Xenopus tropicalis: one gene and its partners. The main gene of each other region encodes a partner of the protein of the gene in region 4 in a complex. Links are inferred from orthologs where the notes say so. Each region holds a gene or a part of one and is shown on either strand. Other genes may lie near its edges. The genes, in order: med13l, med25, med18, med4, med16, med26 and med19.

The links.
Region 1: med4 (region 4) and med13l share a complex: the UniProt entries of both Homo sapiens proteins name them as parts of the mediator complex. The link is inferred for Xenopus tropicalis from reciprocal best matches to the Homo sapiens genes MED4 and MED13L.
Region 2: med4 (region 4) and med25 share a complex: the UniProt entries of both Homo sapiens proteins name them as parts of the mediator complex. The link is inferred for Xenopus tropicalis from reciprocal best matches to the Homo sapiens genes MED4 and MED25.
Region 3: med4 (region 4) and med18 share a complex: the UniProt entries of both Homo sapiens proteins name them as parts of the mediator complex. The link is inferred for Xenopus tropicalis from reciprocal best matches to the Homo sapiens genes MED4 and MED18.
Region 5: med4 (region 4) and med16 share a complex: the UniProt entries of both Homo sapiens proteins name them as parts of the mediator complex. The link is inferred for Xenopus tropicalis from reciprocal best matches to the Homo sapiens genes MED4 and MED16.
Region 6: med4 (region 4) and med26 share a complex: the UniProt entries of both Homo sapiens proteins name them as parts of the mediator complex. The link is inferred for Xenopus tropicalis from reciprocal best matches to the Homo sapiens genes MED4 and MED26.
Region 7: med4 (region 4) and med19 share a complex: the UniProt entries of both Homo sapiens proteins name them as parts of the mediator complex. The link is inferred for Xenopus tropicalis from reciprocal best matches to the Homo sapiens genes MED4 and MED19.

The regions. Positions count from the first base shown.
Region 1 is NC_030677.2:145,408,500-145,411,999, forward strand, and holds part of med13l (mediator of RNA polymerase II transcription subunit 13-like), read left to right. Parts: intron 1-1,147; coding exon 1,148-1,484; intron 1,485-2,809; coding exon 2,810-3,029; intron 3,030-3,500. UniProt on the Homo sapiens protein: Component of the Mediator complex, a coactivator involved in the regulated transcription of nearly all RNA polymerase II-dependent genes.
Region 2 is NC_030683.2:117,444,694-117,447,491, forward strand, and holds part of med25 (mediator of RNA polymerase II transcription subunit 25), read right to left. Parts: intron 2,726-2,798; coding exon 2,642-2,725; intron 1,787-2,641; coding exon 1,610-1,786; intron 1-1,609. UniProt on the Homo sapiens protein: Component of the Mediator complex, a coactivator involved in the regulated transcription of nearly all RNA polymerase II-dependent genes.
Region 3 is NC_030678.2:78,266,575-78,270,550, reverse strand, and holds the start of med18 (mediator of RNA polymerase II transcription subunit 18), read right to left. Parts: upstream 2,801-3,976; 5' UTR 2,647-2,800; exon of another isoform or gene 2,641-2,646; intron 1,692-2,640; 5' UTR 1,675-1,691; coding exon 1,602-1,674; intron 1-1,601. UniProt on the Homo sapiens protein: Component of the Mediator complex, a coactivator involved in the regulated transcription of nearly all RNA polymerase II-dependent genes.
Region 4 is NC_030678.2:134,878,375-134,882,414, forward strand, and holds the start of med4 (mediator of RNA polymerase II transcription subunit 4), read right to left. Parts: upstream 2,801-4,040; 5' UTR 2,800-2,800; coding exon 2,729-2,799; intron 2,659-2,728; exon of another isoform or gene 2,625-2,658; coding exon of another isoform or gene 2,509-2,624; intron 1-2,508. UniProt on the Homo sapiens protein: Component of the Mediator complex, a coactivator involved in the regulated transcription of nearly all RNA polymerase II-dependent genes.
Region 5 is NC_030677.2:100,791,866-100,796,033, reverse strand, and holds the start of med16 (mediator of RNA polymerase II transcription subunit 16), read right to left. Parts: upstream 2,801-4,168; 5' UTR 2,489-2,800; coding exon 2,353-2,488; intron 786-2,352; coding exon 678-785; intron 490-677; coding exon 320-489; intron 125-319; coding exon 1-124. UniProt on the Homo sapiens protein: Component of the Mediator complex, a coactivator involved in the regulated transcription of nearly all RNA polymerase II-dependent genes.
Region 6 is NC_030677.2:112,239,084-112,243,339, reverse strand, and holds the start of med26 (mediator of RNA polymerase II transcription subunit 26), read right to left. Parts: upstream 2,801-4,256; 5' UTR 2,656-2,800; coding exon 2,584-2,655; intron 1-2,583. UniProt on the Homo sapiens protein: Component of the Mediator complex, a coactivator involved in the regulated transcription of nearly all RNA polymerase II-dependent genes.
Region 7 is NC_030683.2:55,853,112-55,857,113, forward strand, and holds the start of med19 (mediator of RNA polymerase II transcription subunit 19), read left to right. Parts: upstream 1-1,202; 5' UTR 1,203-1,289; coding exon 1,290-1,533; intron 1,534-4,002. Other genes in the region: tmx2 (thioredoxin-related transmembrane protein 2 precursor), read right to left, coding at 746-934. UniProt on the Homo sapiens protein: Component of the Mediator complex, a coactivator involved in the regulated transcription of nearly all RNA polymerase II-dependent genes.

The DNA of each region.
Region 1 (3,500 bases), on a different chromosome or scaffold from region 4:
GTGAGCCAGATAACTTCCCATCTGCATACTGCACCAGATTTAGTTTTTGTCCATTATTCTTTATTTTTTTGATAAAACAGTTTGTGAGGTTCTCTCGCTGTTTTCCAACCCACTGTAAAAACCAGCTTGATCTTTGTTTTAATAATGGTCCAGGTTATTTATTTTTTTAGAGGTGTGGGGCTGTAAAAACCAGCTTGATCTTTGTTTTAATAATGGTCCAGGTTATTTATTTTTTTTTAGAGGTGTGGGGCAGAGGCTGGTTTCAGGCAATTTGAGTGCCATGTTATATATAGGCAACAAAAACCTGACAAGCACTTGTGAGGTGATTCAAATACAATTACAGTTTTGGGACCGGTTATCCAGAATGCTTGGGACCTGGGGTTTTCAGCATAAGGGGTCTTTCTGTAACTTAGATTTGTACTAAAAAAATAATTTAAACATTATTTAAACCCACCAATATGGATTAATAATTAGTCGCTATCAAGTACAAGGTACTGTACATTAAAAATTTTTAACTATTTGCTTAAAATGGAGTCTATGGGAGACTGCCTTCCCGTAAATCTGAGCTTTCTGAATAACAGGTTTCCAGATAACTCTGATCCCATACCTGCACCTTGTAACAGTATATGTGTTTGTTAATATAATGCCACAGAATACCGATCACCTTTTTTCTCTAATATTTAGAAAGGATATTTCTGACCTTTTGCCGCTCACCATCAGCAGGTGATGGAGGGGAAAGGGGGTTGAGTTTGACTAAAGGTGTGAACCACTCTCACTCCACCATGTGATAATGTAAAAAAAATTTTTGTCGGTGGGCTGACTCCTTAACATTATGCCATTTGTTATACTATTGTGAACTAGCACATTAAGCAAAAGTGGACCGTTTGTAGTTTGTTAAAATAAAGTACTGTGGGCAAATTCATTGCTTCTTTTTCAGCGTTTTGGATAATGGGTTTCTGAATAATAGATCCCATAGTTGTAATTTGTAGTTACTATAACTCTTTTAATAAACACGAGAGGAAAATAAAAAGTCACAATTGCTGTTTATTATATGCGCTGTACAAAAGGGATTAGCTGGAACCTTACATTGATGTTATGACATGGATGTGTAAGTTTTGCTAATGCCCATTGTCTTTTTCTGTTTTAGCTCCTTACTTATCCACATTGCAACTAGACAGCAGCCTGTTATTACCTCCTAAGAACCAGCCACCTACGGTACAAACCAGCTCAAGCCCAGCTGTGCCGTCTTGTCCTACTGGTGTTCTTTTTAACACCACTCCTAATGGCACAAGTACTACTCCTTTACCACCACCACCTCTATCCTCCTCCACATCTCTTCCTGCTGGAAACAGCACAGTACCCACTGGGTTCAATAACTGCCCATCACAGAACACTTCAAGTATTGTGGAGCGACCATTAGGAAACCAGACCACAGGAGACCCAGAGCCTAGCCAGCAGTCCATGCAGCAAGAGACCCCAGAAAAGTAAGTACAGATGCTGTATTAAAATGAAATTAAATATTTGACTTCTTGCCCAACACAACAGCAGTTATATGAAAAACCTGGTAGTCAGTTCTTAGAAGGGGATATGGAAAACAAAAAAAGAAGCTTTGTAAGAACTGTAAAAATGTACTTTTGAAACTGGGTGAGAGAACACTGACATTTCCACTGCAGTCAGTAAGTCAGACAATTCACTCCTGTACCTAGAGATTCATACACATTAGGCATCACTAAATTATTGCTGACATATATATGCATGTTTATGTGTCTTCACTTTGGGCCTGATTAGCAGTAGCAGCAAAAAGCTTTTAAGGCTTTCTATGCAGTATCCCACATGACTCCAAAGACAGTAGCATGTTTCAGCAGAAATTGCCCTTATCCTTTCCCGCTTAGATTACTGCAATCTCCTACTAACTTGCCTCCCAGACTCCCACCTCTCTCCCCTGCAATCAATCTTAAACTCTGCTGCCAGGATCCTTCTGCTCTCTCCAAAGAGGGAACCTGTTCAGCCTCACTTAAGCTCTCTTGCATGGCTGCCTGTTAAGCAAAGGATTGCTTACAAAATCCTAACATTCAAAGCCCTTCACTCCTTTGCTCCTCGCTACATTTCTTCACTGGTCTCCCTGCATGTTCCTGGTCGTCACCTCCGCTCCTCTCAGAGCCTCCGTCTTTTTACACCATTCACACCCACTGCGCTCTCTCGTCTTAAACCTTTCTGTCTTGCTGCTCCTTACCTCTGGAACTCTATCCCTGAATCCCTCCATAGGGAACTCTCACCCACTCTCTTTAAGAAAAAGCTCAGCTGTTACCTTCTGGAGCACTAAAACATTTTGCCTAGTCCTGCGCTTAAGGGAAAATGCCCATACCTGGTGCACTCTTACCTTCCAATTTGTGCTTGTATGTTACCCAACCACTTAGATTGTAAGCTCTACGGGGCAGGTACCTCCTTCCTACTGTGTCTCATACCACATGGCACTTATTCCCTGTGCATTTATATATTTATTGTATTTATTTATTATATCACTTGTCCTCCTTCTGTGTAATTCTGTGTATTGTAAGATTGTACAGCGCTGCGTACCCTTTTGGGTCTTTATAAATAAAGTTATACATACATACATGTATTCGTTTTTAGTATTTTTGTATTGCTTATTTTTTCTTTTATATGCACTGTAAATAGACTTTTTTAATAATAATATTAGTAAAATCCTGTCAAATATTTTTATGATTCAAAGGATATTTTGCTTTGTTTAATTTAGAAGGATTTTTAAACATATAATATACAGCTTGTATTGTCTCTTTTACATTAACAGTGCCACTGAGCGGGAGAAAATTGGCATTCCCACAGAACCAGAACCAGCTGGAGCACTCAGTTCTTGTCCAACAGTAGTTATATACATGGTGGATCCATTTACATACACAGTGGATGAAGACTGCCACCCTGGGAACTACTGGATGCTTGGCCTGATCAGATGTTTTACTGACATGCTGGAGAGTTTACCAGAGCCACTTCGATCAGCTTGCATACTTCAGGTAAACATTGTTTGTTTTTTATGTGTGTTACCATAACCTTTATGTGCTTTTCACATAGAGCTTTTATAAGACTTTTCTCAAGACTTGAATCGCGCTTGCTTGCAGTGACACTTATAATATAGGGGGGTGGTGGCAAAGAAATGATTATTATTTAAAAGATCTGTATACAGTGGCACCCATATTGTACGGCAACTTTGTCGACATTTTACTATTTTCCCAGGCAACTGTCAGCAGACATAGACACGCAGATGTGTCGAGTAAAACTGTTCGTATTGTACTCTACTGCTCATGCATGAGTCTAAGTTTGTGCCAGGGACACCTGGGAATAGCAAGTAAAATGGTGGAGCTTTGCTACTTTTTTCCCTGGGCTGGTGCTTCTCTTATTTTTCCTAAAAAGAGCACTAGCCTGGGGAAAAAACTTACTGACTGAATTCACTTGGGGGTCTACCATAAATGTTTAGCATCCTTGTA
Region 2 (2,798 bases), on a different chromosome or scaffold from region 4:
TTTTACAGACAAGAAAGAAAAAGCACTAAGTTTGGCCAGGCACAGTAACCCATAGCAACCAATATGATGTTTGCCTTTAACAGGTAACCAGTAAATTCTGCCCGCTGATTGGTTGCTATAGGTTACTGCTCATGGGCAAACGTAGCACCTTTTGTAACATAACCCCCATTGCCACTATTGTGAGGAAACAGCTGTGGAACATGTGGCATTTACTCATGGGGGATTCTCTCCCTCTCCCTGGATGATGCATTTTTATATATATTTTGGAAACCTGGCATATCTATATGCAATATGAATTGACTGAACTGCAACTAACCTCATAATTTCATAGCATAGAAAACTGACGGAGTACATATCTTTATGCACTACGTACTTACTGAACTGTAACAAACTACACAGTGGATAAATTGTGCCTCATTAACGGGAACTTCATTAACAAGGACACAACACAGGTGGGAATCACTATTTATTATTAATATTATTATTATAATAATAATAATAATAAATAGTGATTCCCGCCTATTTTTATAAATTCAGTGGTGGTGTTGTCTCAAGTTGTCTCTTCCGGACCAAAAATGTGTTAAAGAGCCCCACACAACACAGAAATCCCTAAAATACCGGTCACTTTAATCTGGTCCTTCAAACAGTATGAATAAATACCATTTTATTTGCTGAAATCCAGCTGCAAAACAGTTCTTCTCTTTCTACATTTTTAATTGATGAATTATATTTACTTTTCAAAAAGCTTAAGTTGTGTTTGGGTGGAGTTCCCCTTTAAGAGATAGCCAGTACATTTTGGAAGGCAGATATGGGATTACTAAGGGGCACATTTACTAATCCACGAATCCGAATCTTGAATGGGAAAAAATCACATTGGAAACGAAAATTTCAGAAGATCGCAAATATCACGAAAATGCTTACGAAAAAATCGTATTAGTCACGATAACATCGTATTGGCGATCCGAAAGTCACGAAATTTTCGTACCGAACAATTGCAAACAGCGGTAAAACCTTTCCCTATTTTTTCGTGCGCCGTACAAAAAAGTCGTGCGGACGCCCGAAAAAATCCCGAAAACACGCTCGGAGCATTCGTGCTTTTGTAAATGTGCCCCTAAGTGTTGTATCTAGGTAGAAGAATAAAACTGGCTCATATAATATAATATATATTTATTTTTATTTCTTCCTACCATATAATATCAACATTAGGAGGGGCCTGTCACTCAGGAGTAGGGGGCATGGTTTTAGCCTTAGGATGAGGTTCCAGGAGCTACACATAAAGATTCAGTACGGTATCCTTAATATCCTAAGCAGATCAGCCATTTGAATTTTCAGCCTGTCACACTGTGGCTCAACAGTGCCTGTTCTTGGGAATGTAGTAGTTTCACTCACCCCCATAGCCCAACATCAACAATGCTGGACATTCTATGATTAGTCTTCTCTATATAGCAGTGGAATTTAAAAGGAGCAACTTAAATCAGTCACTTCCCCAGCTAAGCTTACAATTTACATTTCCACACCATTCTGTCCAATTGCCAGTTATGGTAAATGCTTTACTATCTGGAAGAGCTATAGGGGGAAAATATTCCCATCTGGTTTCCTGGATACTTACAGGCTGCTGGCTCAGGAGGAGGTTGCGTAGCTGTGGGTTGGCACCAGGGTTTTGTGGTCGGAGCATCGCTCCTGGCTGTGGGTTCTGAGGCTGGCCAGGTGCTTGAACGGTGGTTTGTGTGGCTTGTGGTGGTGCCTGAGAGGCTGCTTGCTGTGGTTGCTGTACTCTGATGTGTAACTGGAAGAAAGCAGCATAGTCATCCTTGTGTTATTGTCAAGCAATCATCACTAATATAAATGATCACTCATTTAGTCCCATTCCCCCCACCCCCCTCAACAAGATTTGAACATCAGCTCATAGCCGGAGCGGAGTCTGACGCTACTGCTCTAAAGTGTTCTTCCACCCATGCACGGCAACAGTAACGTTGTGTTATACTACAACTCTCAGCAGCGCATAGACATGTGATGGCTCAGGCACCATCATGGAACATGTAGTCCTTTAGGGCTGCAGACTGACCATCTGTTTATCAGAGAAAACGTATCTGGTTCTCCTCCAGATGTTAAAAGGATTTTCTACTCAGAAACTTTATTATATTTTCAGAAAGGAAAAAAAAAAAGGTTACTCCCCCCTTGACATGAGTTCATCGAAGTTGGGTTTATGGATAAAATGTGTAGTATAAAAAAAAAAAAACACTATCTGAACTTCCAGAAATATAAAATAAGGAGACCATTATAGTCCCCACCCCTTGTGCTCACAGCGAAATTCAACCCCTCCCTTATCTTGTTCCATTGTGAAGTGATGGATTCTGGTACTTGAAGTCCCCCCCCGCTTTGGTGGGTAGTGCACAGATTATATTTATTTCTGAAAGTTCAGACATTATTTAAGCATTTTCCTACATAAGGCCAACACGAATGAGCTCAGGTCAAAAAGGAGGGTATAGTTTCCCTTTAAACAATTTTTAAAATGGATGAATATTTAAGAAAATAAAATATTCTGTGAGCTATTTGGTATTTGGCTGAATCCAGGCATTTTTATCTGCTGCATCCATAGAAAGTAAAATAACAGATTATCTCAAGAAAAAGAAAAACTCACCAAATTCTGTGTTCTCTGTTGCTCATCCATCATAGTGACTTGGCTAATGGAGGGCATGCCCGGGGCTACCTGCTGGCCTTGCATCTGGAGAAATGAGCAGATTGTATCATTCTCTCTTCTACAACCATGTTATCCCCATATATAAGAAGTAACACCA
Region 3 (3,976 bases), about 57 Mb from region 4:
TTGAATGGCTGCTCCCATGGCTACACAGCAGCTTATTTATATAAACTATAGGAGCGTTCTGTAGCAAATACACCGGTTTTACCAGCGCAGGGCAACAGTACATTACATTTCAATTACTTTAAAACACTTTCATATTTTGGTGTTACTGTTCCTTTAAGCAACAAACTCCTTGCAGTACACATATTAGAAGCAGCAAGGCTTCTTTTAGCTCAAAAATGGAAAACCGATCTTATTCCCTCAATGCTGGAACTAAAAAACTTTATCAACCTCTCACAAACCCTTGAATATCACAATGCAATGGGACTCATGGAAGAACTTTACTGAGGCTGATATCCAGGAATTATAGCTAATAATTTATATTATTTGCTCTTCATATTTTTTTTTCTTTCTTCTTTCTCCTTTCTCTTTCCCCTGTTCTCTTCCTTTTCTTTCTTCCTACTTCACTTCCTTCTCTCTCTATGCTCTCTCTTCCTGTGATTCACGTACAGACACATTCAGTATTTGAGATACATATAGATATAATGCAAATCTTGAGAGTTAAACTTTTAGATGCAAAAAAATTGTCAATTAAAAAAGAAAAAAATTAAGGAATACAACCAATAACCAATACAAGAGGTAAAACAGGGTCCTGCTCAAAAGAGTTTACTGTAAAGTCATAGGATTTTATCAGTGCATGTCAAGGCACCAGTGGTTACCACTGGTGCCTTTCAGCACAGATGCCATGAGTTTGATTTTTATCTAGGCACTATCTAACAGGAATATCTATGCATGTCTGCATGTTTTTATTTTTCTCGAAAAACATACAGATAAACCAAATTTTAATTTAATCAAACCTTTGTTGTGTGAAGTTGATTGAGACTAGTGTTGCACAGACCAGCCTAAAATGTCTGGACCCAATGGCTGGGCATGATCGGGCTGGTGCAACACTTTTCTTGTTCTAGTCCTGACTCTACCCATGTACCACCCTGTGATGTCAGCATGTTGCAGCACTCCACTAGCTGGCTACCATCCTATTTATATCTTTATTCTGCCAAACCCCTCCACTCCAGTGATGCCAGGCATGTGTGGGTAAGGCATCACTAATTACGACCCTATAATAGCAGCTCCAATGGTGAGCAGAGGCTTTTGTAAATGACTAATAATTAGTGCTTCATCAGGTTGGCATTATATAAACATAATAAACAGAAAATAAATGAACTGCAGGACTGGCATTACTTGGGGCTAAAAAGAAATGGAATGATATGCCGAGACAGAAGGCTATTTTCTGTAAACGTGACCAAATACTATTTACATTTTTTGATAGCTATAAAATTATATACAGAACACCAGGATCTTCTGCATAGCTGTATGCGTGTGTCACACTTGGGGGTAAGGGCGGGGCACCAGGGCTTGTGCCGGCTGAGGCAGGGAAGACCGGGCCGTGACGTGACCAAATGCTATTTACATTTTTTGACAGCTATAAAATTATATACAGTGACTACTAGAACCATGTTTTCGTATACCTTGCTAAACAAACAGGGGCCTAAACAGACTTTTTGGTTAGAGGGGACAAACTAATACCATTAATACAGTAACAGTACAGTTTGTTAGGCTGTTCTTACCTTGCAGTAAGTACTCCATCATGTTAATAGTTCCTCCAGATACAGGCATTGTTGTGACTGGGGGAGCCTCCATTGCAAAATGTTAGTTCTCTAAATAAACAAAACAAATATATTATACACAATATTCATATGTTTACAATTGTAGTCAAGACAAGGCTGAATCTCCACTAATACTGCACTGCTTATGTTCTACTAGAACCCCCCTCCAGCCTGAACTTGTCCTGAATAAAAACAGAAACAATTGCATTCACTTTGCCAGTACAATGCTTCAGATTATTTTCCTACTTTCCTAGGTATGGTTTAATTTAGGGGTGCACCTAATTCAGGATTTGGTGAAGATTCTGCCTTTTTCAGCAGGGTTCAGCCAAATCCAAGCTTCAGGCCAAACTATATCCAAATCCTTAAAATCAGGTTACTTTTGCCTAATCTTTCACAAAGAGTTCAACCCCGGTGATTCATCCTTTCCTTCTCCTTTAACAATACCTGACATAGCACTATGTGCACAAGCCTCACATAGACATAAATGGGGGTCATCCCACTTTTAGATCTGTTAAGTAGAGTACTACCAGGCTAGCAAAATGTTGTTTTATTCCTGGGATGTTGCTCCCAGTGGCCTCAAAGGTGTTTATTTTTGAATTCCTGGCTTGGAGGCAAGTTATGGTTAAAAAAACAGGTGCACTGCCAAACAGAGCCTCAAATTAGCCAGTCCACATAGGGCCTACCAAATAGCCAATCACAGCCCATATTTGGCACCCCATGAACATTCACATGCGTGTGTTCCTCCCTAACTCTTTTTACCTTTCTATGTGGTTCATGCATAATAAGGTTTGGGGATCCCAACGTTATTCCAAAGTTATTAAGCAGGAAGTAAAACAAAGACTGTAAGGCCAGTCATTTCCTACTGAAAAGACAGCAATCCTAGGTGTTTTGTGTGTACATTTTTATGTAATAACTGTATATGCAGAGCTGTGTTTTCTTTTTACAATTCATTAACAATAAAGACACAGAGGTACAAACACGGCAGCTGATAAATACATACACTTACTAAAACAAAGTGCCCGACAAAATTTTGTAAATAAGTGAATGGAACCGGGATGCGACGGGATCAATTACTTCATTTAGAGCACAGCCAGCAAGCTCAAGCAGCTAATAAGTTAAGTTCCGGTGCCTAAGTGCACGGCTAACCCGCCATAAAACAACTCTCCCTCAAGTCCTCAGGAGGCTGGCTCCAGAACACCAGGAGCTTTTGCATTTGCGTACTGCGTGCGTGTGACGCACTTGGGGTGAGGGCGGGGCACCAGGGTGCCTGCTGAGGCACGGAAGACTGGGCCGTGACGTAGCACGCTTGTATGTGCCGTAAAGGAGAGGACGCTCGAAATAGAAGGTATTAACGCAGTCGTGGGGGGAGGGGGGTATTTTGCCCCTTATTTCGTAGGAAGCCAATACGATCTGCCAAAACCAAAAATTCCCCTACTGGTGGGTGATTAGATTACTGAAAATTCAGGACCACGTCTAATAAATACATGTTGCAGGGCAGCACTGATTGCATTTAAAATCAATACAGCCCTGCTAGCTGGATTTTTTAGACATGTCCCTAAATTTAAAGTAATCGGGCCACCCTACTACTGGCAACCATATATCTTAGTACAAATCATAGATCTTTACTTGCTCTTAAACCTGTCTTGGCGCAATTACAAATATGTGATAACATTGGTTAATGCTAGCACTGGTGGCTTAATTTTGACTCAATTATAACTTGCAAAAAATATGCAAGTCTGTCCACTTCTTGCTCAGAACAGATGACAATGGTAAAGCTTGAATACTGATTTTTGTCTCTTCAGGACCTGCCCTGTTTGACTCGGACAGCTCACTTTTTGGGAGGACTGTTTGGGGCAAAACTCCCTGCCCAGTTTTTCAAATTAGGGAAACAGGGCAAGACTCTCTTAGACTGACAGTTGCCAGTGGCCGATCACCCGTCATAACCCCACCCCTGACTTGATTGACCATGCCTCCATCACTCACCTGATTTATTGAGAAATTCCACCAAAACCATACTAGTCCCGCCCATCAGTTCCACTTCCTGCTGGCTGAATTCTCTGGATGAGCTGGGGAGCCGGCGGCCCTCCGTACACTACACTGTAGGATAGGAACCAATCAGCAGCTAGGCTGACCTGATAGGGAACTGAAGCCTGTCTTTGCTTGTGTGAGTGCAGGGTTGTGATTGGCTCTCCCCCTCCTACTGTGCTTCTGGAAGGGACCATTAGGACACGCCCACTCTTCATTTCACACTGGACGGAGAAGTGATACAATCTATAGGGAGCTCCAATAAAGGGGCCATTTTTACAGATAGGATTAATTTTTAGCACAAAGTGAAA
Region 4 (4,040 bases):
TTATGCACATTTTTTACATAACCCAACTAAATGACTTCATGTCCAAAATAGGGGAAGAAACCAGGGGTAAACCTGCCAGTTTCCAGTCATAAAAAGACCCCAAATATAAGAGGATCTAACAGCCAGACAAAATATTTGACTTCCAAAATTGTGGTTTCCTGTGTCAAATGATAGCTTAAAGAAGAATGAAAGTTAAAAATCACTGGGGGTGCCAAATGTTAAGCAGCACCCAGTGATGATAATCACTTGCCTGATACCATGGGCTGGTGCTCCTGTGTGTGAAAAACTGTTCTGGCCTGAGGTCTGATATCTGTAGGAGCACCACATCATCATCTTCCATTTCTTCGTCCTTCTTGTTGGCCCCTGGCCAGTGCACATGCACAGTACAGTGACAAGCTGTTTTGTTGTTTCACTGAGCTTTTCACTCTGCCATGTATGCGCACCCAAACCAGGGCTCAAGAGAAGTATGAAGCAAAATAAGGTGGCAACAAATAAGCTCCTACAGAAGAACCCCAGGCCTCAGGTAAGCAATTACTACTGCAACAGCTAAGCTGCTCATGCATGCTCTCATCCTATCCCGACTTGACTACTGTAACCTGCTACTAACCACCTCCCTAACTCCCATCTTTCCCCCTATAGTCTATATCAGTGATCCCCAACCAGTGGCTCAGGGGCAACATGTTGCTCACCAACCTCTTGGATGTTGCTCTCAGTGCCCCCAAAGCAGGTAGTTATTTTTTTTAATTGTGTTGCTCTCCAAGTCTTTTTACATTTGACTGTGGCTCACGAGTAAGAAAGGTTGGGTCTGGTCTATATTAAAGGAAAACGAAAGGCAAAATCACTTGGGGGTGCCAAAATGTAAGGCACCCCCAAGTGACTTTAACTGCTTACCTCGTACCCCGGGCTGGTGCCCCTGTTAGAAGAAAACAGCACCAGCCCGGGGTACCTGGAGCGGATCGCTTCCTTCTTCCTGCTTCCGTTGCTGAAATGCCAGCGGTGGGCGCATGCGCAGTAGAGTGAAAAGCCGACTTTAATGTTTAAGTTCAGCTTTTCACTCTACTGCGCATGCGCGCGCAGCGAATCAGGAAGAAGGAAGCGCCGGCAGCTACCCCGGGCTGGTGCTGTTCCCTCCTCACAGGGGCACCAGCCCGGGGTAAAAGGTAGGTGGTCAAAGTCACTTGGGAGTGCCTAACATTTTGGTGACTTTGACTTTCTTTTTCCTTTAAATACTGCTGCCAGAATTCTCCTCCTCTCATCCAGGAGAGTTCAGGCCCTTCCCCTGCTAAAGTCCTTATCGTGGCTTCCTATTAAACAAAGAATATCTTACAAACTCCTTCTCTTAACCCTCAATTCCTCTGCTCCTTACTACATCTCTTCTCTTGTGTCTCCCTACGTTCCTGGCCGACTCCTTCATTGCTCGCAGAGCAACCGCTTTGTTGCACCCCCCACTACTACTGCAGTTTCCTGCCTTAAACCTTTCTGCCTTGCTGCTCCTTACATTTGGAATGCCCTCCCTGATTTCCTCGGGAGAGAATCCTCCCCCAGTCTTTTCAAAGATAAATTTAAAGACTACCTCTTGGAGCACTCACCCAGCACCTGATCTGGGAACTAGCACTTATATTGTCACCCACTGTAACCTACAGCACTTATAGTTAAAAATACCCTCCTATATAGATAGTAAGCTCTACGGGGCAGGGACCTCCATACTTTTGTGTCTTTGGCTCTTAACTTATTGCAACTGTATCTTGTATTTATTTGTATATATTGTTATCCTTTGAATTTCTGTTATTATCTTAATAACCCCGTTTGTATTAATGTAAATAAAGATATACATACATACATTATAATAACATCAGGGTGCCTACAATTTTGGCACCCCCGGTGAATATACTTTTACTTCTCCTTTAAAAGAGTTCAATAGCCAAGTATAAAATGTAGTTGCCCTGAAGAGCCACACTCCCCCTTCCTGTACCACATCAATGAACTCTTCTAATACAGCCCTGTCTGCTTTTCCAAAAACACAGAGTAGCGCAGTGGAGCTAGTGTACACCAAACTGCTGTGTAGCTTACCATACAATGACAGAATTGCAACATGAGTCAATGTATTTTTTATAAAGTGTCATTTTTCCTTGTGGTGCATTACAGTGTATCCCATGTTTCCCACAATGACTGATATAACGCTGAAGCAATAGCAACAGGTCTTACTTTGCCATTTGACTAAAGGAAAGGGGGGTTTGAAGAAGGCAATTCCTCAGCACCTTGAGGAGCAAGGGGCTCTAATAAAACAGTCGGAAACCAGGGGTGGTGCCACCCTAAAAGAAACCTGAAGGAAGATCAGACAAGTATTCATGCGCCAAACCACATCCATATGTATCACTGTGCGCCACTGCTATTCCCCATGGGATGGCCTGTCCCCACCCACCGTTATACATCAACCGGGGCCCTTTACAGATATTATTCTGGCCCACTGTGCAGTAAGAACAGCAGGAAGGACAAACCCCAACTTACAGGGCTTTTAGGTGGCCAGATAATAGGGCAACGCTCTGTAAGCGCACAGCGCTATTATAACAAAGAATCCCGCACAGTGGAATTCCGAACTTCATTGCTCGTAAGGTGCCAAGCATTTGGCTCTGCAGCTGCTGGAAAGCCACGCAAGAAACAATATTGGCTCCAAAGTATTAGGTGCAGTCCCGAGAAATAAAATGCCCGTGTCGCATAACGCCCTCACCTAGACAGCACTTCCAAGTCGTCCAGGAAAGACATCAGCCTTTCCTTCGTGCTCTTCTCCGGAACAGCCATGTCTGCGGATGGAAGAGAGGCGGGGCTAACGAGCAGTTCCGGGAAGGAATCAAGAGAAACAAGTATCTGTCGAAAAGCGCAGACGTTTTTCACAGCGCCATCTAGAGTAATTTAATGGAACTTAGCGATCCTACTCACATAACTAGCAAATGCCAGTTGGGCAGTGATGTAGATGTCGGCTGCGGCAAATTCACTGAACTGGGGCCTATGGGTGGAGGCTGGAGAACCCCCCCCCCTCACCTGGTGATGAGCTTTCAGTCATATTCACATTGGTGCCATTCACAAACCTACTCATGGTCCTCAGCCAAACAAACGGCCATGATCACAGCATTTGGCCAAAGCATGTCTAGACATGGTGGCAGGACATATTGGGACACTCACATTTCTTGTTTTCCAGCATTTCATGGATGGCACAGTGCGGTCCCCTTAACAAACAAAAGTACTATTTAATGCACTGGTAAACAAAACGTGAGCATTTCTTCCATGAGATTCAGGAGAATACAAATTCACACATTTGTCTCTTAGGGGAACTGAGACTGGCAGCTTAAAGGGCAATTTCACCCTTTTCACCAAAATGTCTCTGAACACCTCAGAATTCATTTGTCTGCTTCTGTCCTGTTTCACATCATCAATAAACACTAGTGTCCCAGTGCCACCGACAGACGTGCACGCCCAAGCCATCACACTGCCTCCACCTTGTTTTACATATGATGAGGTATGCTTTGGATAATGAGCTGTTCCACGCCTTCTCCATACTTTTTTATTGCCATCATTCTGGTATAATTTGATCTTGGTTTCATCTGTCCAAAGAATGTTTTTTCAGAACTGTGCTTTTTTAGATGTTCTTTAGCAAAATCCAATCTAGCCTTTCTATTCTTGAGGCTTAGGAGAGGCATGCACCTGCAGTGCACCCTCTGTATTCACTTTCATGCAGTCTTCTCTTTATGGCAGACTTGGATATCGATACACCTACCCCCTGGAGAGTGTTGTTCACCTGGTTGGATGTTGTGAAGGGGTTTCTCTTCACCCTGGAAATGATTCTACGGTCATCCACCACTGTTGTTTTCTGTGGACGTCCAGGTCTTTTTGTCCAGGTCTTTTTTTCACCAATGGTTGCGTTCTTTCTCAGGATGTACCAAACTGTAGATTTTGCCACTCCTAATATTGTAACAATTTCTCGGATGGGTTTTTTCTGTTTTCGCAGCTTAAGGATGGATTCTTTCACTGGCACGGAGAGCTCC
Region 5 (4,168 bases), on a different chromosome or scaffold from region 4:
ACACTGTAACTAAACCACTGACTGTGACTGCAATCCAACCCTCCATTGGCTTTCCACCAAACAAAGTAAGAGATGGGGAAAACTTCACGCGTGAGAACTTTTCTCCAAAACTGGAAACACCAGACTGCAGGAGAAAAAAGATCAGTATTAAGGGTGGTAAATGCCTACTTAAAGGGAAATAATGGTTAGGGGACAAAAGAAATAATGGTCTCTGCTTAACAACAAAAAGGATAAGCAAAGTGAAGTGAAGTGAAAGAAAAGAGCATACAAACAACTAAATATAAATACTAATGTAAATATTCATTGTTATCTCACCCACCTTCTCAACATGGAGAGCAAGTTTGACTCCATTGTGCAACCAAGACAGAGCTACTATGGGATCTCCATCCACTTCGCTGCCTACAAGACTCTGCCAGCTGTTTGCTAAGTGATCAGTCATTCCCCAGCATTTGATTCGACCATCTGCATCAGCTGAGAGCAGGCGGGAACCTAAAAATACCAATAAAACCAAAGCAACAGTTACAAACACTACTGTCTATGTCCCTTCAAGGATTCATTTTCTGCTTCCCACATTTATCTTGTTTCTTCATATTTCCCTTTGCTCTCTGCCCTTCCCTTTTAAGTTATATGGTTTTCTTGTTTATTATCAAAAAGCCCAGCAATTTGTTTTACTGTACCAGATTGGTCCCACTCCAAGCTGGTAATAACTTCCTGGTGCCCAGAGTTAATAGAGTAGACATCCCACGGATGTTCTGTGTCGAGGATATGGATCAAATTAGTGATATCTGAGAAGAAAAAAAATCAAGTTATTTCAGATTTATCCATATTCCTGTAAAAACACTTTTTAATTTATCAAAACCCTGGAAAACAAACAATCTGGTGAGAATTATGCAATGTTGCAACTCTCCATGGTCAAATTATACTTGCTTTAACGAATAAGAATATATTCAATGAGAGCATAAAATATATACTTAAATTTGTGCATTGTAAAACGCCTGATTTTGAGTACAGTTGAACTTTTTAGAAAGATAATAGAAGACAGATGAACTCTTTGCACTTCAATGTAAATTTCATAAGGTAAATGAATGGGGGTGGGAAGGAGGGCTAACTACAGCCAATTGTTTAGCATTTTTTCAGTAACAAGCACTTTTCTTACAGCTCACACGACCCAACTATTGTGAGAGAATACACACTTCTTCACTTAACATTCTAGTAGGCAGCTCTGGACTGAGATTTAAAATAGGCCCTAGCATTTTCAGCACACAAAAGCTCAAATAGCCCCCAACTAGCGCTCTACTACACAGTCACTGTCTATGGCATCTTTCAGCAGTCCCTCTGGCATTTGCCAGAACCCACAGACTGGCAGTCTGAGCCTGCTGGCAGGGATTATTTACTAAGGGGGGGTAAGGTGCAGAATTTTTTTTCCCCACAATACAAAGTGGCACAGAATGACATTAAATAAAAAGTAGAATTTATTGCAGTAACACATTCCTGGGTCTGAATTTGTGCACCTAGGTCTCAAGCTGCCACGCTTCCACTACAAGCAATACTTTCTATTTTTATATTGGTGCAAGGCATTGTGTCTCAACCCTTTCTCCTTGTAGATTGTAAGCTCTTTTGGGCAGGGCCCTCTTCACCTCTTGTATCGGTTATTGATTGCTTTATATGTTACTCTGTATGTCCAATGTATGTAACCCACTTATTGTACATCGCTGCAGAATATGTTGGCGCTTTATAAATAAATGTTAATGTAATGTAAAAGGCATTGCCTAACCGTAATGTGTATGCCTATAGATTCAGATGCTTTAATTTTTTATCTGCGTCTATGCATCTATCTGCATTCTATGCATTCTAGTGACCCAAATACCCTTAATATACTAACCTAGTTCATTTTAAACATGGTAATATAAAAATGTAATCCAAGCAATCCAAGCTCTTTGGTAAGACCAGCTTTGGACTGGGAACCCAGGGACCCACAAGAAAACCTTAGACCCACTTTCCAAATTATTTGTCCTCCTTCCCCACCCAACCACTTTATTCTCCAAGTCTCTTTTATTTACATAGCATCTATTCTTCCATCTAATTCTTGACTTTCTTCCCATTCAGAAATAGGGAATGACCATGAAACAGGCCAAATGATCAGGAGCAGGAGACTGACACCTGGGCCCACCATGAGTTCTCCTGGTATCCAGTCCAACACTGGGTAAGACTCATTTTGGTTTGTCTTTTAATTGTTTTATGCATTATAGATAGAGAGAGAAAAGTAGACATATAACAGTTACTAAATAATAGAAATACACACACATATAATCACACTCACAGAGCGGTGCTGTAATAACAAAAAGATGTTACCTTTCTCCTCCTCATTGCGCTGATCTGTAGTGAAAGCAATAAGATTGCGGCAAGACCAAGCGCAAACTAGTGGGATTGATGGGCAGTGACTGGTCCGTGGTCTTTTGTCCCACTCACATACGTACCCCACATCCATGCTGACAGCAAACACGCACCTACTAACTATGGGAGAAGGGCTACAGATCGGGGGAACAGAAACACAATGGCTTACATTGGGAATGGACTGACTGACTGCAGCTATAAGAAACGAAGGCGGACGACAAGAAGCGTCAAAAAGCGAAAATATGCTAGAACCTTGCGTAGGGGATTTGCTACTAAACTGCTCTGGTTACTGCTGGTTCCAGAATCCCGTAGGATAACAAGGTTCTACGTAAAACCAGTAATGAAAGTTCCCGGCTACATTAGTGCGTCTCACGGAATAAGCGTCTCAATGTCGCTTTCCGATGGCGTCATCCTTAGATTAGCATGCCGACCTCTCCCGGCGTGCATCGTGGCAAATGCCTAAATTGCAGCTATAAATTCAATCTTTCTCTTCTGTTTTTCATGTACCCAGTAAATAAAACAATATCAAGTAATATTTATTGCTGCTCGGTGTAAATATACATATAGACATACAAAATTGTCACTCCAATATAACCGAATCAAAAGCTAGGGGCTTTAAATAAGAACCGGCGCTAAGGTATGTTTGTGCTCGCTTCGGCAGCACATATACTAAAATTGGAACGATACAGAGAAGATTAGCATGGCCCCTGCGCAAGGATGACACGCAAATTCGTGAAGCGTTCCATATTTTGCACTTATCTTATCAAATGGATATTGGAGTGAAAAACAAACCATGTATATTTATATATATATATATGTATTTAGTTTGTTTTTCACTCCAGATGAAGGCTTCTGTGTGAGACCCAATCGTTGAGTAATAAACCTTTCTATTTTTACATTTACATTTTGCTCACACTTTACTTTGGAAATAAATGTAATTTGGGACTATTTTAATTTAATATATATATATTCTCCACTCATCTAATAAAAAATGTGTATTTGTGAACAGTGTGTGTGTTTGTGTATATATATATATATATATATATATATAGATTTACACACACACAGGATTATGATTTAAAAACTAAAAATCTTTAGTTCCCCCCTTTATTATGCTGTGAAGATGGTTTCTTCCTACAGTCAGTGGTGTAACTATAGAGGAAGCAGACACCATGGTTGGGGGGGGGGCACCAGGGGCAGCCTGGACCATAGGGTCTGGTTCCTCTATAGCAGGGGTGGGCAAACTATGGCCCGCTGTCTCCGGCCCCCTTAAAAGAATGACGGGCCCTGATTGGTTGCGCCCCATGCATGCGCATAGCGTCAGCACACACGGGGCGCAACCATATAAAAGAATGCACTGGGGAGCCGGGGAACAGAAGGACGGGACGGAGGAAGCAGCGGGTCGCTGGCGGAGGGAGCCGCAGGTCATGAAGGATGCTGGGGGGGAGCTGAGAGGCCCCATAATTTTTGATGGCAGCCCCGGGCGTAACGCTGTCCCGGCCCGGTCCGGCCCGTCTGTTAGTCAATGTGGCCCCTGACCCAAAAAGTTTGCCCACCCCTGCTCTATAGTCACTCTCATTGATAAAGTTAAGGGTGCCCGCTGCTTAATATTTGCCAGGGTGGTGGCCAGGTACCTGTGTGCGCCAGACCCCTCCAAAAAATGATTGTGGAAATGTGAAATATGGCAAAATCAGGGAATGTAAAAGTGAGATTTCACTGTGTCTCATCCCACTTGTTGTGGGATGAGATACACAGTGTATCTACAAAGAAGTCA
Region 6 (4,256 bases), on a different chromosome or scaffold from region 4:
GCTCCTAAACTAAAAATGTAATAACTAAAGAACTACAAATAAAAAAAAAAAATTAAGACCAATTGCAAATTGTCTCAGAATATCACTCTACATCATATTAAAAGTTAACTTAACTGTGAAAAACCCCTTTAAGAAACAGCATAAAAGCATAACCCATACCATAGGTATGAACAGGTCACCTAGGTGCCTCATAAGCTATAAGGAAAAAAAAAAGTAAGCCATAAGCAATGCCTCTATACAGAAAAAAATCCAAACACAAAACAGCATGCTTGTTCTCAAAAAGCATGAACAAGTAACATCTCATCTTTCAGTTATTCTATGGGTTTAAAATAAAAAAAAAAAACAAAAAAAACTCTTAACTGTGACAGTTTATAATAATTTTATGGTGTAGTGTACAGTGTCTTTCGGATTAACAGATTCTTCATTTAGAACCCGTTATTCTAAAACATGTTGTGCACTACACAATAACATCATATGAGATTCATAAGGAGTTCTCCAGTGAAAATGCAAAAACATTAAAAGGGTCAAAGTAGCAACCAGGGTTAAAAATTGCTGAACAATTCTGCAGGCTAACAAACTGATTACAATAGGGCTACTACTATACCTAAAGCCAAAGGTGTAGCGATTTACTGATTTTTTTCCCGAACACTCCCAAAAGTGGTTACTGAAAGAAAGGAACAACACTTACAAGTACCTTCCTCTAATGCATCTATCAAAGAGCCCTAGCTCTGTACTGCTCAGCACCTTTAGTTGTTATTTTTCACACCTGTGTAATACAGCGCAATAAATATTTAACTATTTGTGAGATATTAAAAAATTACAAATCAATTCTAATATAAAGCATACCCAACCTAAACAATATATGCTTTTCTGGAAACCAGGATCCTTTATCACAGTTGCCTAAATCTATTTTTACATGTGCTTTTGTTTACCTACAGCTTAAAAATTCCCATGCAGACACAGGCCTTTCAAAAGTACAGCTACCAAATACAGACTTTCAGAAGGTATGTGTCAGCATTAAAGACACAAATTAATTCAGTATGTACATACCCATGTGTCCCTCACCCCAAAATAACTTTGAGATGCTTCTGGCATTAAAAGGTCCAAATCCTTTCTAAATGTACAAGCTGTATATCTCCAGTGATACAGGAAATACACATGTATTTAAAGCTATAACTGAAAGTAGGTTTTCAGCAATAGATTATTATCAATTTAATAGTAGTGTTCACTCTTTATAGTAAAGGCTTCAGTAAAAAAAACCCTCAAACTTCAGAAGTTGTTTACAAAGAGATTATGCTTTATAGATACATGTTAATAATGGTTACAAATCTTATCCTGCAATGTACTTCAAACTTTTGCTACATAAGTGCTTTGCAGAATTAAACTCTATAGGTGCCGACGCATCCTGCCAATGCTAAAATAAGTATCAAGAGAAGATAGAAAGTGCAGTAGATTATATACTGTAAACAACAGTGAAAGCTTTTACAAATTTGAGACATACCAATAAATTGTATTGCTGACTGCAAATTACTTGGCCTTCTAATTTGTGGGAGTTGTTACACCTCAAATATAACAGCACATACAACAACAGGTCTGTATATAATGCAGTTATAAATGCCATACACTTCAGTCAAAGATAAATCGGTCACATAAGGACCCATGACAAATCTCTAAATGAAATACAATAAATAGCATTCTGAACTTTCCCTGTTCTGTTTCTTTGAGAACAGATCTCTCAGTTTAACAAGCACACCGCCTGCCCACACCAGAGTAATGCCAACAACATGAGATAAATGCACCCTGTCCCCACAAGCACACATCTGCACTGCCAGGAACATAAGAATATGCCAAAGGAGTGTGTTTTGGCAGTCCCACCGACTCGGGCATCGCAAGCCTAGCCAGCAGTCTGACATGTGCCGGTGCCTACAAGGGCAGTCTGCTAACTTAAGGCCGCGACTAGGCCCTATCCCCGACCTCGCCTACAAAGTAAGGACGGATGTGCTCGAATATACAGAGTCGGATTAAGAACGCGAGATGGCCTAAAACAAGCGCCAGGGGTCCCTGCTACAAAGGACTGCAACCCCAGATAAACGCCGGGACCCATAATCCTCCATTCCCCAGTTGCCCACTTCCTGCTCAGCTCTCAGGCTTTATACTCGTCTCTCACCTACCCACAGAGAAGGGGCTCTCAACTAGCTGTTCCTATCGAGCTCTGCCTTACCTATAGCACTCCACTGTGGGCTTCTCAGCTCCCGGCATGGTCAGTGCCACTGCCTCCACCACCCTAAGGCTCTTGCACGTTCTGGCTCCAGGGGACTCGGTCTTTCCCAGCCTCATGTGACCCTCAACTAATAACCTGGAGCCAAAAAGTGCATTCCAGAGTAACGACACCTCTCTTTTCCCCAGCCCTTAGCCACCAACCACCCATAATCAAGGGATAGTGTCACAGCAGCCTCCAGTCACTCTCCGTCAGCCCTTTCCCGGTCGTCCCTAGTCTAGCTTCTCACTGCTGGTTCAGAGGGTTTCATCAAGTGCCGAAACCCCGTGTTGCGCTCTTTCCACTCCCTGTCCCCCCTGACTCACGTTGCTTTGCGTATCGATGGCCTGCAGCAGCCTCTCCCTGATCTCCCGCGGGGTTACCGGAGCGGCTGTCATGGCCTCAGTCCGGGGATCACTGCGGAGGGCGGCGCGGCATGTTCCCTGGGAGGAAGGAACACGAGTTCCCGGGCGCAGGGAGAGCAGCGAAGAAGCGAGAAAGCCGGAGACTCCCAGACGCGTCTCTCCCGATGGAGTCGAGCGACCGGGAGTCCCGAGGCACGCCGGGAAGTCCGCCGCTGCACGCTTTGTGACGTGACGGTAGCGGCGTCCTGGCGTCACAGTCCCCCTAGGTAGCACGTACGTCACGCACGAACGTCTCTCATCTTCCCCCTCAGTAGGAAGTGTCAGACACGACTTAAAGCTGTCATTCGTCTTCGGTATCCATGGAGAGAGGGGGCAGCCCGTGCGCCTGCTAGCCTTTAGGCACCTGAGTTGTTACTAGGCAAGATGCATCACTTAAAATAAACACTGTTGTCTACCCTGCAACTTTTGTGCAGTAGACTATAAGCCTAGCTGGAAGGAGGGGCTTATTTAACTACATCACCTCAGTCAGCGACACTGAAACAGAGCGACCCGTGGGTCGTTATGAACTACTATGGAACTCTTTGTGGAATTCTGGGAGTTGTAGTTCATAAGTCATACGAGTAAGTTTGCAGGAAAAAGAATCGAACGTTTGTTTAGAAAAGTTAGCTAGAAGTGCTACACATATTGCCATATATTCAAGTGAAATCAGGTTACACTTATTTCAGCCCTGCAACCTGCATATGTTAGAATTGTCTGGGTTTTGTTTTATTTAGTTTGTCTTGTAACCTTATCTCAGAGACAAAGGTTAGATTCAGAAAATATGGAGAGGCAGACGTTCTACGTAGCCCTCTAAAACATATTCATTACCAGTTTTTTCATTCTCTACTGAGTTCCAAACTGTCTCTGGAACCTATATCAGTACAAGAAATATTAGTAGCTGCACACAAGCTAAATATCACCATGTAGAGTGCCATGCATTGCCAGTTGTTGTGTAAAGCTGTATAACACTGGACAGCAGGGAGCTGGAAATGGGTTCTCTGAAATGATGAATCATCTTCACATATGGCAGTCAAGCAGTCATTTCTGGGGTGGTGGGTTCCAGACAACTTAGTTTGGTGTAGGACTAGTGATCAGGGGATAATTATTGTTTTGGGTTAGTATTCTTGGTTTCAACAAGGAGACATTAGCGCTATAGTGTACAATGGTATTCGTGGATATCGTTGATGCACAGGTGGTCAAAATAAAATTGGTAAGCTTCCCATCTGCATAAAACTTGGTTTTTGTGTTTGGGTCTTAAAAACTTATTGATGTATGAATATTGAAAAAATGCAATATATTAAGGTAGAACTCACCAACAGTTTCTTGAGGTCCGGGTGCTCAAGCCCCAGACCTTCAGCTCAGGGGAAGTGATAGACACACTTGGATTTCAAATAAGGCTGGCATAAGACTGGACTGTTGAAGCAGATGGTGATGCAGTTAAAATGATGAATTTATGTAGTAACAAGACCTCTCAAAAGGACACGTCTTACACGTTTGGTGCCTTATGGGGCACTTAATCATAGGCTAATGATTAAGTGCCCCATAAGGTACAAAATGCATACGGCTTGTCCTTTTGAGAGGTCTTGTTACTAAAT
Region 7 (4,002 bases), on a different chromosome or scaffold from region 4:
GACCCCAACACCCCTCGACCCCTGTAGTTTAATAATCTCCTGATCAGAGATTGCAGGTTTGCTCCGGGTAGTAGGGGTCCATTAGGTACTCAATGTGCACGTTCTATTAACAGGAAGGCGAAGAATTGATCCATGCCAAGTGTTTCTATTGTGCATTTGTAAATAAATACAAGATATATATGTCTTTATCTATGACCCTGCAATGAGGTATCAGCCCCTACTTGAAACATAGATTTATTAACCTGCAAACCATACTGCATGGAGATTAACTTATTATTGGTAAAAAAAAAAAAAAAAAAGTGTTTACTAGTGTTATACTAGGCTTTCAAATGTTAGCCATAAACAGTCATCCAGTTAGGGGCTATAACCTCAGCCATTATGCTTGTCCGCCTCTACATCTCAGGGTCCTAATTAAATACATTTTAGAGGACTATACGCAGAGTTCAAAGGATGAAAAACGAAACACTTACGTAAGGTTTTATCAGCTTTTTCGGCCTATCAAACAATTAAGTAGATCAATCATATCTGACCCTTAAATGTACAAACCAAATACATCAAAATTCAGCAATAAATCACTTTTCAATCAGAATGTACGTAAAATACCACTAATAAAAAGCCATCATTCTCAGCATTTCAGGCATGATAATTATAATAGAACAAATCTGAAGAAACATGGAAATTCATGATATAACAGTTTTCGATGCATTAAACCATTCAATGTAAGAGTCACCTTGAAAGTACATACCCAATCAAAGTCGCATGGATTTCCGTCCTCACGCTGTGTTGGTAAGACGCTACACACCGGGGGTACCTTTCTAACCAGAAGAAAAGATACAGACAATAACGCAGAAAGAAGGTAATAGGGCTGCGATACCCAGCGCAAAAGCCCAGGAACTGCATATAAAAACGCGAGAAGGGGTGCAAGCACAGCCATTGCCACAAGTAACGCTGATTATCTGGGAAGGAGACTCATCCAATTACATTAACTATATCGAACTGCTAAAAAGAGTGAGGTCCAACCCAACAAAAAAACAGCCAATAAAGATCAGCACAGTAGGACGTAAATCCGGAAATAGACAACAGCTAATCCAGAAGGAGTAGTGTCAGGCGTTTAACCAATTGATAGCAAGCAAGCACAAACAGCACATGCGATAGGCTGGTATGTGGAAGTGACGTTCATATTCGTCTCTTCAATGACGCTTAAACGTTTAGGAGGGGCTTAACATAAGGTTTAGGTTCATTGGTTGAATAGTAGAAGGGCTGATGTGGTTGGTTTCAGTTGCAAAGTAATGGAGGGATTTTCTGGTCTATTTGCAGCTTCTGAGCCCTCATCTATCCCTTCTGCTCCAGGGCCCCCCTCTGTTGTTCCAACATGTACTGGTGCGTTTGTGTCAGGAAAGACACAGACTTCAACTCCAACAGTACCTGGTCCTCCGCTGCCGATCCCTCCGCCACTTTCTTCTAGTTCTTCTGGAGAGGATAGCTCCCGAAGACCTGCAGCGGGGCCCTTCTATATTCTTGGTGAACTTCCAGGTGAGTGTTAACAAGCATGGGTGCATAGGACCCGTACTAAACGTGTGCTAAATGTCTGCTATGTGGCAAAATCTGAACCGCTGGGCCTTGTCTTGCTGGAGCATCAGGAGAATGGTGTCTGTGGTCTTGCTGACATGTTGTTTTGCCTTCTGATGGCTAAATCCATGTCTGGGCTGGTAAACGCAACACGATTTTACTAAGAATCTTGAATCTTCTTTTTTTTTGTATGTCAGTCTATTTTAAGCATCTACAAGGGATTTACATTTAGTCATTAGAAGAGGAAACATTTTAATTATTAATAGCATTTTTGTAGATACCCTTTTCCAACATCGGACTGGGCTGTGCCAGACCTATTGGGTTGGCACTCAAACTGGCACCCCAGGGAGTGCCAATTGGGGGAGCGCCAGTGCATTGTTTCTGGGTTGGCTGGGTCCACTGGGTTTTTTACCTGCCATTTCATTTGGATCCTGCCCTTTTCTGCTAGCGTTATCCAATGTGATTCAAAAACCATCTCAAAGAGTTGCTTATTACTACACCTTTTGTGTGGTAAACTTATTATTATTTGTCTTTCTTTTTCTAAATATGTGTATTTGGTGTCAAATATGATGACTTGAACTTACATTAAGTGCTTAAATTAAAGTGGAAAAAAGTGGAGCCAGACCCAGCTTCCTTCCTCTATTTCAGGGGTAGGGAACCTATGGCTCGGGAGCCAGATGTGGCTCTTTTGATGGCTGCATCTGGCTCGCTGCCAAATCTTTAATAAAAAAAATAATGGGGGGCGTGGACTGTGCTCGGTGGATAGAAGACGTGTTCTAAACCTTAGAACACGTCTTCTATCCACCGAGCGCAGGCCACGCCCTCCTCTGCATCGGATCCGCATCAGGCATCCTTGGGACCCACCTTACCTTGACCCACAGGATCCGCGGCCAAACATATTGTATGGCTCTCACAGAATTACATTTTAAAATATGTGGTGTTTATGGCTCTCTCAGCCAAAAAGGTTCCCGACCCCTGCTCTATTTAGAGACCCGTGCCTGCCCCACAATGATGTCACAAAAGAGGCAGGCCTTCTGGGAGCGCGCCTATAAATAGAGAAGCCTGAAGAGAGCTGCTGGCAGTGTAAGGTTGCGAGCGGAAAAGCTCGGCCCGAACCCGCAGATTATGTGCCTAGGTCAGCTTGAACCCGGCTGACCCGCAGGTATTGGGCCGGCCCATACATCACTACTGCCCAGAATTATAAGCCACACCCACTGTTATAATACACTTTGACCGCAAACAAACTCTGGTTTTATTGCCTGCTAATACACAAAGCAATAACTAAATGCAGTGCTTCCTTCATGGGACCTGTTATCCAGAATGCTTGAGACCTGGTGTTGTCTGGATAAGGGATCTTTTTGTAATTTGGATCTCCATAACTTAAGTCTGCTAAAAATCCTTTAATATTGAATAAACCCAATAGGATTGTTTTGCCTCCAATAAGGATTAATTCTAACTTAGTTGGGATCAAGTACAAGTACTGTTTTATTATTACAGAGAAAAAGGAAATAATTTAAAAACAAATTGCTTATAATGGAGTCTATGGGAGATGGCCTTTATGTAATTGGAAATTTCCGGATAAGGAATCCCCTACCTGTATATAAGTGCAATACCAAGTTCATGTATAATGCCCCCCATAACACTTAAAAGAGAACTGTCATGAGCTATAAACCCTTCCATCTTTCTCACTGTTATAATTCAAATAAATACAAAATCACCTGTACCAAACTGCATTAATTTTTAATGTAAAACACTTATTTCTCATTTCTAATTGTTTTTCAAACCAGGCATTTTCAGAATCTGAAAGTAGGTGTGTCTCTTCTGTAGCACTTGTCATCCCAGCGTTCATTTAGGCCAGGGGTTGCCAATATGTCGATTGCGGTCCACCGGTCGATCCCCCCTGGATTTCTGGTGGACTGCGACAAAGCCAGAGATGCGGAAGTGCTGCGTGAATGCGTATGTACGCACTTACGCATTCCCCAGTCAAAAAGTCTGGCCACCCCTGATTTAGGCCTTTCCACATATCCTGAATCTTAGGTCCCCTCACCTTCATCATCTCTGTGCACCACAGTTAAGTTTCTGTTGTTTGCAGAGAGGTATGCATTGTAGTAGCTGTAGGCTGTAAATTATAAGGCCAAGAAAGGAATACTGTGACAGTAAACGCACAAGAATAAAGGAAGCGTTTTGTGAATCTTGAGCAGGGGTCCCCAACCTTTCTTAAGGTAGCTGCCGATATCGGTCCCTTGGAGCGATTCGGCAGCTAATCGGGCCATGTATGGGCACTCCCAATGGGCCTGCCCGGCCGATATCTGGCCTGAAATCGGGCAGATCTCGATCGGGCAGGTTAGAAAATCTAGTTGGATCGGGGACCGCATTGGCTTGTTGATGCGGTCCCCGGACAGACTTTTCTGCCATTTTAATTCGATCGTTTGG